Linked DNA regions of Oreochromis niloticus. The protein of the gene in region 1 purifies or fractionates together with the protein of each later gene. This does not show direct contact. Links are inferred from orthologs where the notes say so. Each region holds a gene or a part of one and is shown in the gene's direction. Other genes may lie near its edges.

Region 1 (7,801 bases):
CACACACACACACACAAATGGGAGAAGCATTGACAACAAATACAGCTTCTGACATAAGAAGGCAAACCCGCCCCCCCAACAAACAAAACAAACTTCATGACTAAAGATCGGTCTTACCAGTTTGTCATCACCAATAACAGTCTACTAACCGGTTTGTGTTTTCCAGCTGGTTTCTTGTCTGCAGGCTTTCTGGCTCCATCTGGGACCTTCCTCACAGTTAAAGGCACTCCGTATTTGGCGGCTGGTTTTGTAATCTTCTGGGCTGAGGCTGGTATTATGAGATATCCAGAAGTAATTTAGAAGAAAAACTCAAAAACAAACAAAATTTGTATTTTAGTCATCCAATGTGCGCACCTACACACACACACACAAAATAAACAGTGTATTTTCACAACATAATAAAAATCAAAAAGAAATGAGCAGATTATTGCACGACAGATGCAAAAGTCCAGCATCTTTCATTTATCAGTTTTGATTTAAGGTGTAATAGTCCCCCATAATGCCACTGATATGTGTCTGACTTCGTGGCTGACTAAATCTTGAATCTACAAACCAGCTGTAGAAGGCAGACCCCTTGTAGTCTTCTTCATCATGAGTTTGCTCACCTGATGGCATCTGTGCCACACCCAATTTAGGCTGCTTGTGAAGAAAAGTATGGCGAAATTCCTGAGCAATGATCTGAAATGAGTAAGAAATTTAATGAGCAATCTACTTTTTGCAAAGAAAACCCCCCAAACAATTAACAATCAGCTGCAGAGTCTACCTGTGGTGTGAGAAACTTCTCAATCCTGCAGGAGAGGAAAGGTTTGTCCAGTATGCTGTTGACTGAAGGTCGCTCTCTGGGGTTGCGTTTAAACAGCTGTGCAAGGAGAGATCGCAGTTCTTGGGAGTAATGACATGACACAGGAGGGTATGACCCGCGGATTATCTTAAGAACCAAGTTCTTCATGTTGCCAGCCTCAAACTGAGAATAAACAAATGCAAAGGCACACACAGCTGTAACCACTGCATAGAAATTACTGCAGACAATTGAACTATATAGGGATTCTTAATGTGGGGACTGTACTGGATTAGATATTTAATTAGGAATTAATATACTGGAAATTAATTTCAGTGTATTATCTAACTACAGTTATACATATAGAATATACAAGGAAGAGATCAAAATTAGTATGTGAGAGAGCAGTAAATGCTGCATAAAACACCTTACAATACTGTACAATAATTATTAAACAGCTCACACAGAATACTTACTGCATGCTTAAGAGTGCACATTTCATACAGAACACACCCTAGGGCCCAAATATCACTGCAGCAGGAAGGAAAAGCAAGGAAAATGAGAGGCGAGAACATACAAATGGGTAGGCAGGGATAAGTTCTGGGTTAAGTTTATCATTCATTCAATAAGGTATCAACAGTCAAGTGCATGCCCTTTATTTTCCTTTTATAAACTGAGATGAAAACAAGACTTTATTGACAAGAAAACTCCAGATCATTTAGACTGTGCTAAATTTACTTCACTGATTGTAACTAAAGTAGGTTAAATTGCATGTACACTTAAAATAGCTAAGGAGAAAAATCAATACCAGCTTCCTGCTGTAGATGTAAGCGTGCAAGTTTACTCAGTAAAAAGGAGAAGTGATATCCTTACATTACACTGTAGCCACCGCCTAATCCTGCAGACTCAAGATTCAGTGGGGAGACACCTTGTCCCATTGATTACTATTGAATTTGCTTGACAACTAGACACCAATGTACGATATTCCAGAAGTCCAAGTACCTTTTGTTATTGTATGGTTTATTTTCACAGATCTCTGGTGACAGGTAATATGGTGTTCCTATGCAAGTTCTCGCCAGTTCTACAGTGCTGAAAAACAGAAAAATAGCACATTTTAATATTAAAGCTTCAATATTTCAAATAGGCACTTTCTAATGTGCAAAAATATAAACAACAACATAAAAATCAAAGCAAAAACAGCTGTAAAAAAGGAGAAAAATCAACATCAATAATAAATGCACTTAAGACCCTCAGAATAAAATTTATAAATACATAAAACATGTAATACATTATAAGATCAGACATATTTGTTTTAACCAAAAGATATTTTTGTGTAACAACAGTTAAAAACAAAACAATAATTTAAACACAACAAGTTAACAAATTGGCTAAAATAAGGGCAGTGTACAGATAACACAAATTCAACAAAATAAACTATAATATTTTTTAAATGTAGTAAAACAGAATGTCTTATTACCAGAAATGCAAAGTGTTCTTCAACTTTTAGTCTGAAATCTATGCTTAATGAAAAACTGCAGGGCTACTCAGACAACAGTGTGCATACCTGTTCAGCACCCTTGCAATTCCAAAGTCTCCAAGCTGAACTGTTCCATCTTTTGTCAAAAAGATGTTCTACACAAGCATTATGAGAACACATGTAAATAAACCAATACATGCAAACAAACAACTTATCACTTAAAGGGAGGTCTTGTGATTTATGAAACAATACCTGTGATTTTATGTCTCTGTGGAGAATTTTTCGATCGTGTACATGCTTGAGCGCTAGGCAGATCTGCACAAGCCAATCTAGGATCTCAAAAAGGGAGACTACAGTAAACCATACTTATCGTGATCAGTTTAACCCAATATGTGTATACTGTTTGCACAGTGACTGCCTCGAGTAGTTGCTGGCTTACTTGCTCTTCTGAGAACAGTACCCCTTTCTGAGAGTTGATCTTTTTGAATAGGTCTCCACCCTCGCAGTAGTCCATCACAATATACAGACAGCCACCCTCTGGGATTAAAGTACAAATAAAATAAAAAACTTATAGTATGTAGTTATCACACAGTGCACATTTGATAATATTTTCTTCACATAAACAGATGAGCTATTTGAATGGCATTAATACCTTCAAAAGATTCCTTATACTGGACGATGTTTGGATGACTCATGTTGGCAAGAACAGCAACTTCCTTCCGAGATTCCTGCCTCTCTTTGCTGGACATCTGTCAAAGTAATGAAGAGGGTAACGAGATGAAGCGCACGCTGAAAACAACATGCGAAGCTTGTGTAATATATGCACAGAAGCTTACTCCAGATATGCCAATCTCCTTGATGACATATTGGTGTCCATCATCTTTGGATTTGACCAGGATAGCCTTTCCAAATGAACCTTCCCCAATTTTCTTCACCTTTTCGTACTTGTCCATGTTATTGGAATGACTGGCTCCACATGCTGGATCTGCAAAGACATCAAGAACATGCTAATGCTATTGCTCGGTGTAATTAGGCTTTAATCGAGGGTTCCGTGACAGCAGTTTTATAAAAGGCAAACATTTGGTAGTCTCAATAATGCCAATTGTGCGTCATCCTGGAAATGTAATGTTAGCTCCATTGTGGACCGCTGTCAGACAGAAAATGAGACGGACTGTGATGCTGAGATGCAAGACACAACACAGCTGGTAGCAAAACAGCTAGCGTTTCCGTTACTTAGAAGCTAGAAGAAGATGGAAGCGTCATAAAATATTTACCCTGTGAATGCACAAAACTCTGGCTGATATAATATCACCGGCTCACTGTGTAGCCGTATACGTTTGTGTGTGCCTTACCATTAGTCTTTTCTCGCTGCCTTTCTCATAGAGGTTCGGGTACTTGATACTGTCCTCGCACTCTCTATCTAACTACGGCTACATTTTTTTTGTACGTTTTCATTGGTCAGATGTACCAAGACCGAACATTAATTGGTGTACACGACTGTCCATCATCTGTTATTGTGGATGACGCTTACCAGTTTCCGCCCCCAATGACACCGTTGCTGTGGACATTTTCCATAGCAACCGCAAACCAACTGAGAAGCATGGAGAACGTGTAACGTTTGGCGATTAATTTAGTTAAAATGTATTTATTTTTTAGTTACTTCATCTAGTATTTTCGTATTATGTATCTAAACCACAGAGCTTCGCTCAACTTAGTAACACACTATCCTCGTAATACCTGTATGGAGTACCGTAACTGTCAAACTGAAAGACCACAGTATTGATTCAAATTATAAATTATAAATCATATTTATTATATAAAAGCTGCCTCTGTATTTATTATCTAATTGTCTATTTATTTATTTATAAAATATTTATAAAATTCTCCATTTTTTTATTTACTGTTAAAAGTGTTCAGTATGGATAGGCTTCGAGGTTTATTGTTTCCATTGGTATTGACTTATCTTAAATTAATTATTACAGTTGGGTAATGAAAAACATAAACACCCACCATGGTGGATAAGTTATTGCAGTGTGAACTTAATTTAATTATTTGGTAAACAGTAGTTTAGTGCTCCTGCAGCAATTGCAGTAGTCTTTCTCTTTGGATGGTGGGTCAGACATTTAATGAAATAATTTCCCCAATTTAATCTTATTTTCATAGCATTTAGTAACATTCTTTATTTACTGATTAATTTATTTCAGTCTTATTTTTGGTGATTTAGGTCTTCTGTACTTTATGTGGGCTCTGCCGCATAAAAACCTGACAAAAACCTGAAAGTCATATATAAACCATACTGTATATTTAAATAAGTATGGCATACTGTATTTATATTTTTAGGAATTTGGCTGTTTATGCGTAGCAAAATGAAATTCACAAAGGTATTCGTCTTTCAAACAAATTATGTAATATCGCAAACGATTTAACAACATAAAATATATATCCCAGTGTAAAATTCTGTTTAATTTAATTTAATTTAATTTTTTTTAAATTTAGACTAAATTCCTAAACACATTTACTGGATTTACAAGCCGCGGTGACGCGGGCGGCTAGCTCACGCCTCCTTGTTTGATTGTATCGAAGGCTGTGAGCAGATGACGCAGTGAGGTCCAGTGAAGATGGCTCCTTTTCCGGACGAGGTGGATGTTTTTACTGGCCCGCACTGGCGAATGAAGCAGCTGGTGGGCCTGTACTGCGAAAAGGTGTGTACAAATAACTGTCGTTCCTTAATTTTGCAGATTTACGAACAATTTTTTGGCGGTTTGTGTCCGAAGGTGAAGCGAACGCCTGCTAGCATGCTAGCTAGCTAGCTTGCTTAATAGCAGCAAGAATTGAGTCAGTCGAAGGAGATGAACTGTCGGATGACTGTCTGACGACTACACTGAGACCCTTTGGTTGATCTGTGGTCAGCGTTACGTGGTAGTATTCACGTTTCCAGCAGTGTGAAACCCTAACCGACTGAACCTAATAAAGTTTTTATAGCCACTCCTCTCCGCAGCTAAAAGCCTTTTCTGTTTACTAGCCTAACTAACTTGCAAGATAGCTTATATAACGTGCTTTAAGTGCCACATTGGAGTTTCTAATGTTTTCACAAAGGGTGGTGCATATATTAATAAGAAGTGTCTTAACAAGACAAGCTAGGGTAAGCTCATTTAGCTGCAACAGCTAATGCACGAAGGGTGTGCTTCACTAACCCTAGCTCGGCTACAACACTGATGATTTGACACTCTCTGGCATACAGCCACTATGTTTACATATACGTATCAGTTACTGTGTCTAATCCTACCAACTGAAACGCTAAAATAGATCACATGGATCTTATGTGGTGATTTATTTTGTAAGAAATAACGCAAAGATCTTATTTGATAATTCTTCTTCCACAGCTGTCCAACACCAACTTCTCCAACAACAATGATTTCCGCTCATTTCTTCAGTCCCTGTGCGCCACATTTAAGGAGTTCAAGATGCATGAGCAAATTGAGAACGAGTACATTATCGGGCTGCTGCAGCAGCGCTGCTGCACGGTGTACAATGTACACTCTGACAACAAACTTTCAGAGATGTTGTCCCTCTTTGAGAAAGGGCTTCATAGTATTAAGGTAACGATCGACTAGCATTTTAAAATACACATTTTATTGTCATGTTATGATCCTATATTTCACTTGATGCAACTTTAAAAATAGCTAACCAGAAAAACATTGGCTTTAGGTAAGGGGAAAAACATATAGTACAGTGCTCAATTGTTGGGTACCACTCAGTCATTAGAATAAGTATCATGTCAGCAACGCAAAGATTATAGTACATACAAAGACATCAAGGGTTGTTATTTTTCATGTACACATGTAATTTCCGGCACATCTTCAAAGCGGTTTTACTCACATGCAAAGCAAAATTACCAGTGTTATAATAAATGAGAATTAGTTTTAGCTAACTTACACACTTGGGCAGTCAGTCCCTAAAGGCCCATTGTGCCATGAGAAATCTGCATGTTAATTATACTACACTTCCTTTAAGTGTGGAATAATACTGTTATTTATTTGTTATATCCACTTTTGTGACAGTTCTCTAGTGTTACAGTTTCATATTTAAAAGAAGAAAAAGGATGAATGAAGTTATTAAGCATGAAGTTAGTAAGTTGAACTACTTGGAACAGAGGGAGGGTTATTTTTGTGATCTGCTTATCGAGAGACAAGAGTTATTGTTCTGTCAAGCCATGGGCAAACCTCCACCCCAAGAAATAAAAGACAAAAATAAAGGCCTTTTTAGAATTATGCAATTGTGTAAACCCGAACTTCCGCTGCCAGTTTGGAAATCAGAAAACATTTTCTATTTTTGCTCTCAGGAGAAATCCTGCTTTCTGTCCCAAGGAAAACTGTCTCCTGGGAAAAACAATAGTGTCCTAAATATTTAGATTATATTGAATTCCTGTCATTTGTGTTAAAAAACAGTTCATGATATTTACCCTGAGAAATTACCCTGAGTAAATCAACTCCTGTAGTAATGATATTAAAATATTTTTGAATAGAAAATAATACTTTAATGTACAACAATTATTGCAAAATACAGCCATTAATGATGATGCAAAATCAAAATGTACTTCTCAATGTAGGGAGTAGTGATTGAGTAAGGGTGATTTGGACACAGACCATGAATTAATCATTGTTGTGTGTTTTTAGAGTGAATATGAGCAGCTTAACTATGCCCAGCAGCTGAAGGAGAGACTAGAAGCTTTCACACAGGACTTTCTGCCCCACATGAAGGAGGAAGAGGAGGTATAAGATGCTCAAATTTCTTTTCCTTTCTTTTTTTTTTTTTTTAATATAAACATATTTTAATTACCCATTGTGTGGGACATCAATTAAAACCAATTTATGTTGAACAACAAAAGGTAAAAAAATACACTGGAAGTTATCATAAAAACATGTCTGTTTGTGTCCCAGTTAATTAAACTGTTGCAAGCTGTTTGTAAACTGAGGAGATTCGTTGCAGGTGTTTCAGCCTATGCTTATGCAGTACTTCAGCTATGAGGAGCTCAAGGACATCAAGAAACAAGTGATAGCGCAGCACTGCAACCAACAGCAATTGGACAGTGCCGCAGAGGTGCTAAAGGGCTTCAGTTTGTGGAGCCAGGCGGAGGAGCTGCAGAAAGCCTTCAAATACGCTGATCACGAGAAGACAGATTATGGTGAGTGAGTATGTATTTAAGCTGGTGCTTCGTACTTAAGCACATTATAACTGGTCAAGTAACCCCACTGTTCAATATACCACACGTTTAGATAAGCATATCAATCAGTTGTCTTTTAGATCTAATGCAATGTGATAACTCATGTCCAGCAGACATTTTGACTGTCCATTAAGGCATTTCTTATGATTTGATCAATTTAGGCTTGACTAACTTGTTTATACCTGCATGTATCTTGCTGCAAAATGTCAAAAATGTCTCCTTGATAACGGACCTCTGTACTACCGGGACAATGTTTTAACTGTTAAAGTCACCAGCTTCATGAAAGAACACTCTGTCTTAGAAAGTGGTTGACATTTCTAAA
Region 2 (7,153 bases), on another chromosome or scaffold:
GAGATCAACAGCATCACTGACTGTTTCTGTGAGGACACCATCATCCCAGCAGGGCTGTTTCCCAACAACAAGCCCTGGACCATCAGAGACCTGAAGCTGCTGCTGAATGAAAGAAGAGGATCTTCAGGTCTGGAACAAGGACCAGCTGAGAGTGTTAATAACGTTACTAATGTTCAGCTACACTTTACTAGGTCACATCTGTGACACACGTCACTTAAATAAAGAAGGAAATATTGGCTCTGTTTTATCTGCTGGGCCCAAAAGTGACTCCCCGTATTTAAACTGCTATGAATAACTTGTTGGTCTATAATATGTGAAACGTGTCAAATGTCTCCATCATGAAAGATATCAGGTCATCTTGAGCCACAAAAACATTCCTATCATGAGGTAGAAGCTGGAATCAGTTTGTTGCAGAGGGACGTTTATATATCCCATATTTATCCAGTTAAAGTCACATTGAAATTCAAAAATGTCTTTTCAAGAGTCGTCTGTCCAAGAGGAGCAGAAACAAATATAACAACAGTTATTTAAGCTGTTTTAAAGGCCACAAAGGAGCAGATTGGTTATAATGCAGCTGCTTCAGAGGAATAAAGATGAAACACTGTTTTTATTTCATGTGTAACACCTTTCAATCATGTGTTGACTAAAGTCTATTGACCAGTATAAGTAAAGACATCACACACACACACATGGAAACACTGAAACCTGTTTTTGGTGCAGCAGCGGTCCCAGCTGCTCGCCTTTATCTAGACTGGGTCGGCTGCTTATCTCAATATAATCAATGTTTAAAGTTCTCAGTGTTTCTGTGTTGCTTCGTATAGGATCTCCCAGCATCATCACTGTGCTGTCCAATCATTGTGTGCTAGGTTACCCTTATAGTGCGATGTGTGTTTGCACAAAGAGAAGCATGTGTGTCAAATATAAAGAAGCACAGAACAGAAAAAGCTGCCAGTTTCTTCTATTTATGTTTTATGTTTCATGTTTCTACATGATTATATGTCCTGTTATTGTTCTGTATTATATTCAGCTTTCAGCATCCTTTCCCAGCCCCTGTTACACCATCCATACAAAGCCAATCTGACTGTGAGCCAATGTGTTTGATAGTTTGTGTTGGATCAATAGATTTGACAGACTTGGTTCTCATCCAGAGGGAAACAGTCCAAATTCAGATCTAATGAAATGATGGAGGCTGTTTCCTACCACGGTGCTAATGTGTGACTAACAAGGCTCATGGTCTCCAGCAGACAAGCGCCTGGAATGAGGTGAGCTGAGTCTTGCTTTGGTGGGTCTGTGCCATCATCAGGTGACCTCCAGGTCACACTGGAGTATGTAATGTTCGAACTCTTATTTTGAAACCAGCGGAAGTACACAGGTACGCCGGCTGTATGTGCGTGTGCTAGCTTAGCAGTTGACAGTTACGTGGATGCGCTGATCCTGATGTACTGAATAAAGAAATCTGTATGATTTCTTCATCAGTATTGAAGCCACAGCACAGTAGCTGAAACAGCAGGTATGAGGCCCCACAAATCTCAGGCCACGATCCTCAGCCATGTCCCAGTGAGGAACGAGTCACTGCTCTAAGTGGGGGCGTTTTTAGATCTCGGGGTCTTGTACTAAAGGGAGGGAAGACGTGAGCAGGAGATTGACAGATGGGTAGATGTCAGTCATTGTGAAGATGGAGCTGAATGTAAAGACAAAGCTGTCAGTTTACTACAGTCGTACCCTCAGCTGTGGCCACAAGCTTTGGATAGCTTTGGAAAAAATGAGATTGTGGATACAAGCCGCTACTCCTCCACACTGAAAGGAGCCAGGTCTAGGATGCTTCCTAGGCGCCTCATGAGCGAGGTGTTCAGGGCGTGTCCTGCTGGGTCCTGGTCCGGGGTAAGACCAGGACATGCTAGAGAGATTAGATCTCTCGACTGGAAACAACACAGTGTCTGCCCAGATAAACTGGAAGAGCTGGCTGTGGTGTGGCAGGTCTGTGTTACTCTGCTTAGGTTTCTGCCCCTCAGACCCAGCTCCAGATAAATGGAAGATGGATGGAAAAGTAAAAGGTCAAATGTGGTTTGTAAAGTCTCATTTTGAAACCTTGAGATGAATGTTTGCCCTGTTGTCATCTTGGTAAAATACTCATCAGGAAAGTGTTGACTGGGGATGACTGTTTCCTTCTACAGTGTTCCAGGAGCTACATCCATGCTGTATTGAGCATTGTAGTTGCTCGTGTATAAGCAGTCCCATAGGACTCTCCCATAGAGCTTAAAATCTGGGACTCTCCAACAATTACACTTAGAACTGAAGAAGCTTCTCAGATGACAGGAAACGTCTTCAAGAAAACTTAAAGAAGTCCAGACGCTTTCTTTTCAAGCTCCTTGGATTGTATACAAGCACCAGTCCATTTCATATTATATCTCAACCAGCATGTCCACACAGAGCCAGTCTTGGAAGCAAGCAATGCTGTACTTGCAGTATGCTACTGTGTAAAACACAACCAGCGTAAGTAAGTAGTTCTGCAACTACTAACCATAAAGATGTGTTAGCTTAACACGAGCCACACACCGACTGTTATCTGACCCTTGTCAAATACGTGCTGTATTTACTATGTCATCAAGATGTAAAGCAATGACACAATACATGTAAGAACATAGCAGCAGCACCATCTACTGGTCATTTTGATAAAAGCAGCTAATCTTTTAGTATACAGTCTGCACTATGCTATATTGTAGCATTGGGTTTGCAGCTAGTTGCTGCAACATTGTTACCTGTGCTGGATTATGGAGATATTCTATATATGAATGCTTCTGCTCAACGTCTTTGAACAGTTGATACTGTGTATTGTGCTTCCCTGAGGTTCATCACTAACTGTAAATCTCACACTCACCACTGTGAGTTATACTCTCAGGTAGGACGGCTGCTTTGGCCAGTCGGAGGAACTCTCATTTATACAATTTTAAGGCGATAGTCGGATTGCTGCCTTCCTGTATATGAACAGGCTGATCAGAAGGGCCAGCTCTGTTCTGGGATGCCCTCTGGACCCAGTGGAGGTGGTGAGTGACAGGAGAATGGCGGCTAAGCTGTCATCCCTGTTGGACAACATCTCCCACCCCATGCAGGAGACTGTGACAGCTGAGCAGCTCCTTCAGTGGCTGCAGCACCCACGGTGTGGGACGGAGAGATTTCGCAGGTCTTTCCTCCCCACTGCTGTCAGACTCCACAACAAAGACTTTTGCAGCTGATCAAACACACACATGTGCAATAAGATGCTATATGTGCAATTCTCTTTCTGACAAAGTTGTACTTTTGTATTTTCTTACTCAGTTGTATATAGCATTTGTATTCTACTTTATTCTATTGCATTCCAGTGTTTTCTAATTACTGCTGCATAACTTTGCACTTTTGCTGTAACGAAACAAATTTCCCACCTGTGGAACTAATAAAGGTGTTCTTATCTCATCTTATCTTATGTTCCCTGGTTGCAGTGAAACATGCTGGTCATTATTCTCTTTATGAATGTGTACAATATAAGAAATAAATTATTGTGTTAGGTTTGCTGTTCCCCATTTTTGGTTCATGTTGGTTTGCTCATGATAGTTTTTAATAGCATTAGTTAATGTCTTGCCTAATACTAACTAAATGCCCAGACTACGTGATATTCTCTTAATCACCTAGTTTGTTTTTTCAAGCTTCCACTGATTTTCTATGGGACTGAAGTTTAGAGACTGGCTAGTCCACTCCATGCCCTTAATGTTCTCCTTCTTTAGTCACTGCTTTGTTGCCTTGGCAGTATGTTTTCACTCAGTGGTATGCTGGAAGCCCATCTTTAGTGTTCTGGCTGAAGGAAGGTTCACATCCAAGATTTTATGGTGAAAGACCCGTCTGGCCCCTCAATGTGGTGAAGTCATCCTGTACCCTCAGTAGCTCCAAAGCATAACAGTCCATGCTTGACTGTGGTTCTGGTGGTCTTTCTGTCACACTCAGCATTTCTCTCCCTCTTAATATAGATAAAATATAAATAAAAGCCAAACAATTGTTTTGTTTTCTCCCACCGAAAATAAATAAATAAATAATCCATTTCCCGTTCCAGTTCCTTTCCATAGTTGTCAGATATACGTGGATATGAAGCTGCAAAGCCCGGCGTCGGTTCAGCTTTTATTCTGAATAAAAAACTAACCGGAAGTGTCGCCAGTGGAGGCGGAACCTGGGCGGAACCAGCAGCAGGTTTTGTGGCGACTAGCTGGTTGTGACCAAACTCTGCTGTGATCCGGTGATACTTCAACACTGCATCTAAAGTAAGCGATAACTATCCGACCACATTTAGTTTCTTGGCTTATTGACGATTTTCCAGAAGAAAATCTGAACTGAAATTCTCGTTATGTCGCTATGAAAGCTAATTTATTCACATTATGCTTTATACCAACTCACGCTAATAAGATATTATATCTGAATTATTAGCTAATAATATGCTTATTGTTTCTTTCCTTGGTTTTAGTATTCAATTTAAATGTTTATCTTTGAATAAAAGTCTGATACCTGTCTTCATACATGCTGAACTTTGACCCATAAGCTATGCTAACACGTAGCATCAACTACATTAATTCCTAAACGGGTCCAGTTAGCCGTGATAGTTAGCAGGTCAGGTTTTCTTCACACTTCCACGTTTTTACTGATGATATATAAACGTGACTGATGTGGAGACAAAGCTGTACTATCATCAGGCTTCAAGTGTAAACATTCTGGTTGAAACTGGGACCATTCTGGTAAAAATGTCAGCTGGCATAAACCGAGGCTACAAATGTGAGCTAAAAGTCAGCGTCACGTATTGGCAGGAGTGTGACGTCTAGATTGTTACACTAAATCATTAGAAGAAAAGCAACGGTGCATGTCTTTGTCACTGTCGTGGCAGTTTGACTTTGCACTTGACAGCAGAGGTTTAGCCTGAACTGCAGCTAACCAGCCAAGTATGTGGTCATGCAAGGTGCGCAGACATTTCACCTTTCACACAGATAACGCCTCTTTCTAAGGTCTGTCATGCCCCACAACCTGAATTTCACTTAATGTGTGTTTGAGCTGCAAGTGACTGATGCACAGTTACTGTCACATTTTAGTTAAAGAAATGGAGTTATGCAATGTTCATAGCACGAGGTCAACGACCCTCCACTAACCCTGTCCTGAAATCCAAGCAAATCCACCTCCCGTTATGAGACTAGTAATAGGCCCGAGGCTCTACCTTCCTGTGAGTCTTTGTTTGGTTTGTATGTTGTTGACATATTTGAAAGGTACTTGAAAAACAGATGGTAAAGGGACTATTGTTATCCACGCTTCTTTATCCTGCATCATGTGAGTCAGGCTTTTGATCTTCTTTTAGGAAAAGATGTCGGCAGCTGTGAAAAATCCTTTTCAGCACATAGTTGAGCCTCTGGACCCCAAAGAGCCAAAGCAGCAGTTTTTCAATCTATCCAAGCTTGGAGATCCCAGATATGGTAGGAGCACATCTACACCTAATGCTAATGTGAAGCATCTCGTTGGTGCATACAACCAAGGAGTATTCACTTGCACATGCGCTCCTTAGACCGTCTGCCGTTCTCCATCCGGGTCCTCCTGGAATCTGCTGTCAGGAACTGTGATGAGTTTCTAGTGAAGCGTTCGGATGTGGAAAGCATCCTGAACTGGAAGCAGACGCAGTTCCAAACTGTGGAGGTGCCGTTCAGGCCAGCTCGGGTCATCCTCCAGGACTTCACGTATGTCTTTTCCTCAGAATTTAAATGTCAGTGATTTGTTTTAGCAGAGAAAGAAGCCTTTTACTCATTTAATTACGTGTACTGCACATTGGTGTCTCAGTGATGTCATCAAAATAACCTCGCCTTGGTCTGTAACAAGAAAGTTATATCACAAGGTGTGTGCAGGTGTTCTTAAATCACTGTTTCAGCAGACATCATCTCAGGTCCGAAAAGAACCTTTGAGTGAAATAACTAGATCTGGATTTAAGTGCAGTTTGCAGCAGCATCTGCTAAAAGCAAGCTGTATTTTAAAAAAAGTTATCCACTGTGTAAGCAGCAGGTTTCTACTTTAACATAGAGCCCAAACAAATGGCTTTGGAGTCTATTATTAGTCATATTTAGTGCACATTTAAAAAGGTAATATTACTTTCTGAGCTGCACTGTCCCTGATCAGCCTGTGCTGCGTCCTGCAGCGGCGTTCCTGCGGTGGTCGACTTTGCTGCCATGCGTGATGCAGTGATGAAACTAGGTGGCGACCCAGAAAAGATTAATCCAGTTTGTCCCGCTGACCTCGTCATTGATCATTCCATCCAAGTGGACTTTAACAGGAAGTAAGATCTTTGCTTTCTTCCACTGTGTGTCAGTTCATAGATGTTTTATTCACTGCTTGATTTCACCTGTTTTTCCTCACGCAGGTCTGACAGCCTTCAGAAAAATCAGGATCTGGAGTTTGACCGCAACAAAGAAAGATTTCAGTTTCTAAAGGTGTGAAACTGAACCTCTTATGTCTGTTTAAGTCTGATGCTTCAGTCCATAAATGTGATCTCTGATCTTTGCAGTGGGGCTCGAAAGCCTTCAGAAACATGCGGATTATTCCTCCTGGTTCAGGAATCGTTCACCAGGTCAACCTGGAGTACTTGGCCCGCGTGGTGTTTAACCAGGATGGGCTCTTCTATCCGGACAGTCTGGTGGGCACTGACTCTCACACCACCATGATCGATGGTCTGGGTGTCCTGGGCTGGGGTAAGACGTGTAATGTGTAGGAGCCGTTATTAATGATGAACCTTTGTCTCGTGCTCTTTTATTTATTGTCAGTTATGCTGTAGGCTGCTGCTGGGGGACGTCCCACCATGAATGAGAGTGATTATATTCGCTCATAGTTTCTTTTTGCCATGTTTATTGTTTGTGATTTCTTTTGCTCTGTGTAGGATCTTCACCTTATAAAATACACACTACCAGTCAGAAGTTTTAGAATAAACCAATTTTCCAGTTTTTTTTTATTGAAAATGATGCAGTTTAGTGTCTCATTGCACTTTGAAATCAAAGCATAGCACAGAAATCATGGAGTCTGTTTATAGATCAAAGTGTATTGTAAACTTTGGCAGATGTAACAGCTGAACACAGCCGTGTCATTCTGTCTACAACAGAAATCAAATATT

Evidence for each region.
Region 2: the proteins of fbxl5 (region 1) and aco1 purify together in Homo sapiens (affinity purification with western blotting; 3 studies listed by BioGRID, with this or other methods). This does not show direct contact. The link is inferred for Oreochromis niloticus from reciprocal best matches to the Homo sapiens genes FBXL5 and ACO1.

The regions. Positions count from the first base shown.
Region 1 is NC_031986.2:36,966,205-36,974,005, reverse strand, and holds the start of fbxl5 (F-box/LRR-repeat protein 5), read left to right. Parts: upstream 1-4,792; 5' UTR 4,793-4,873; coding exon 4,874-4,957; intron 4,958-5,638; coding exon 5,639-5,854; intron 5,855-6,931; coding exon 6,932-7,027; intron 7,028-7,244; coding exon 7,245-7,440; intron 7,441-7,801. Other genes in the region: serine/threonine-protein kinase Nek1, read right to left, coding at 150-268, 606-678, 764-964, 1,255-1,309, 1,781-1,867, 2,343-2,410, 2,508-2,591, 2,695-2,792 and 2 more.
Region 2 is NC_031967.2:277,697-284,849, reverse strand, and holds the start of aco1 (cytoplasmic aconitate hydratase), read left to right. Parts: upstream 1-4,139; 5' UTR 4,140-4,286; intron 4,287-5,362; 5' UTR 5,363-5,368; coding exon 5,369-5,477; intron 5,478-5,566; coding exon 5,567-5,735; intron 5,736-6,187; coding exon 6,188-6,325; intron 6,326-6,409; coding exon 6,410-6,479; intron 6,480-6,553; coding exon 6,554-6,737; intron 6,738-7,153. UniProt on the Homo sapiens protein: Bifunctional iron sensor that switches between 2 activities depending on iron availability. Iron deprivation, promotes its mRNA binding activity through which it regulates the expression of genes involved in iron uptake, sequestration and utilization.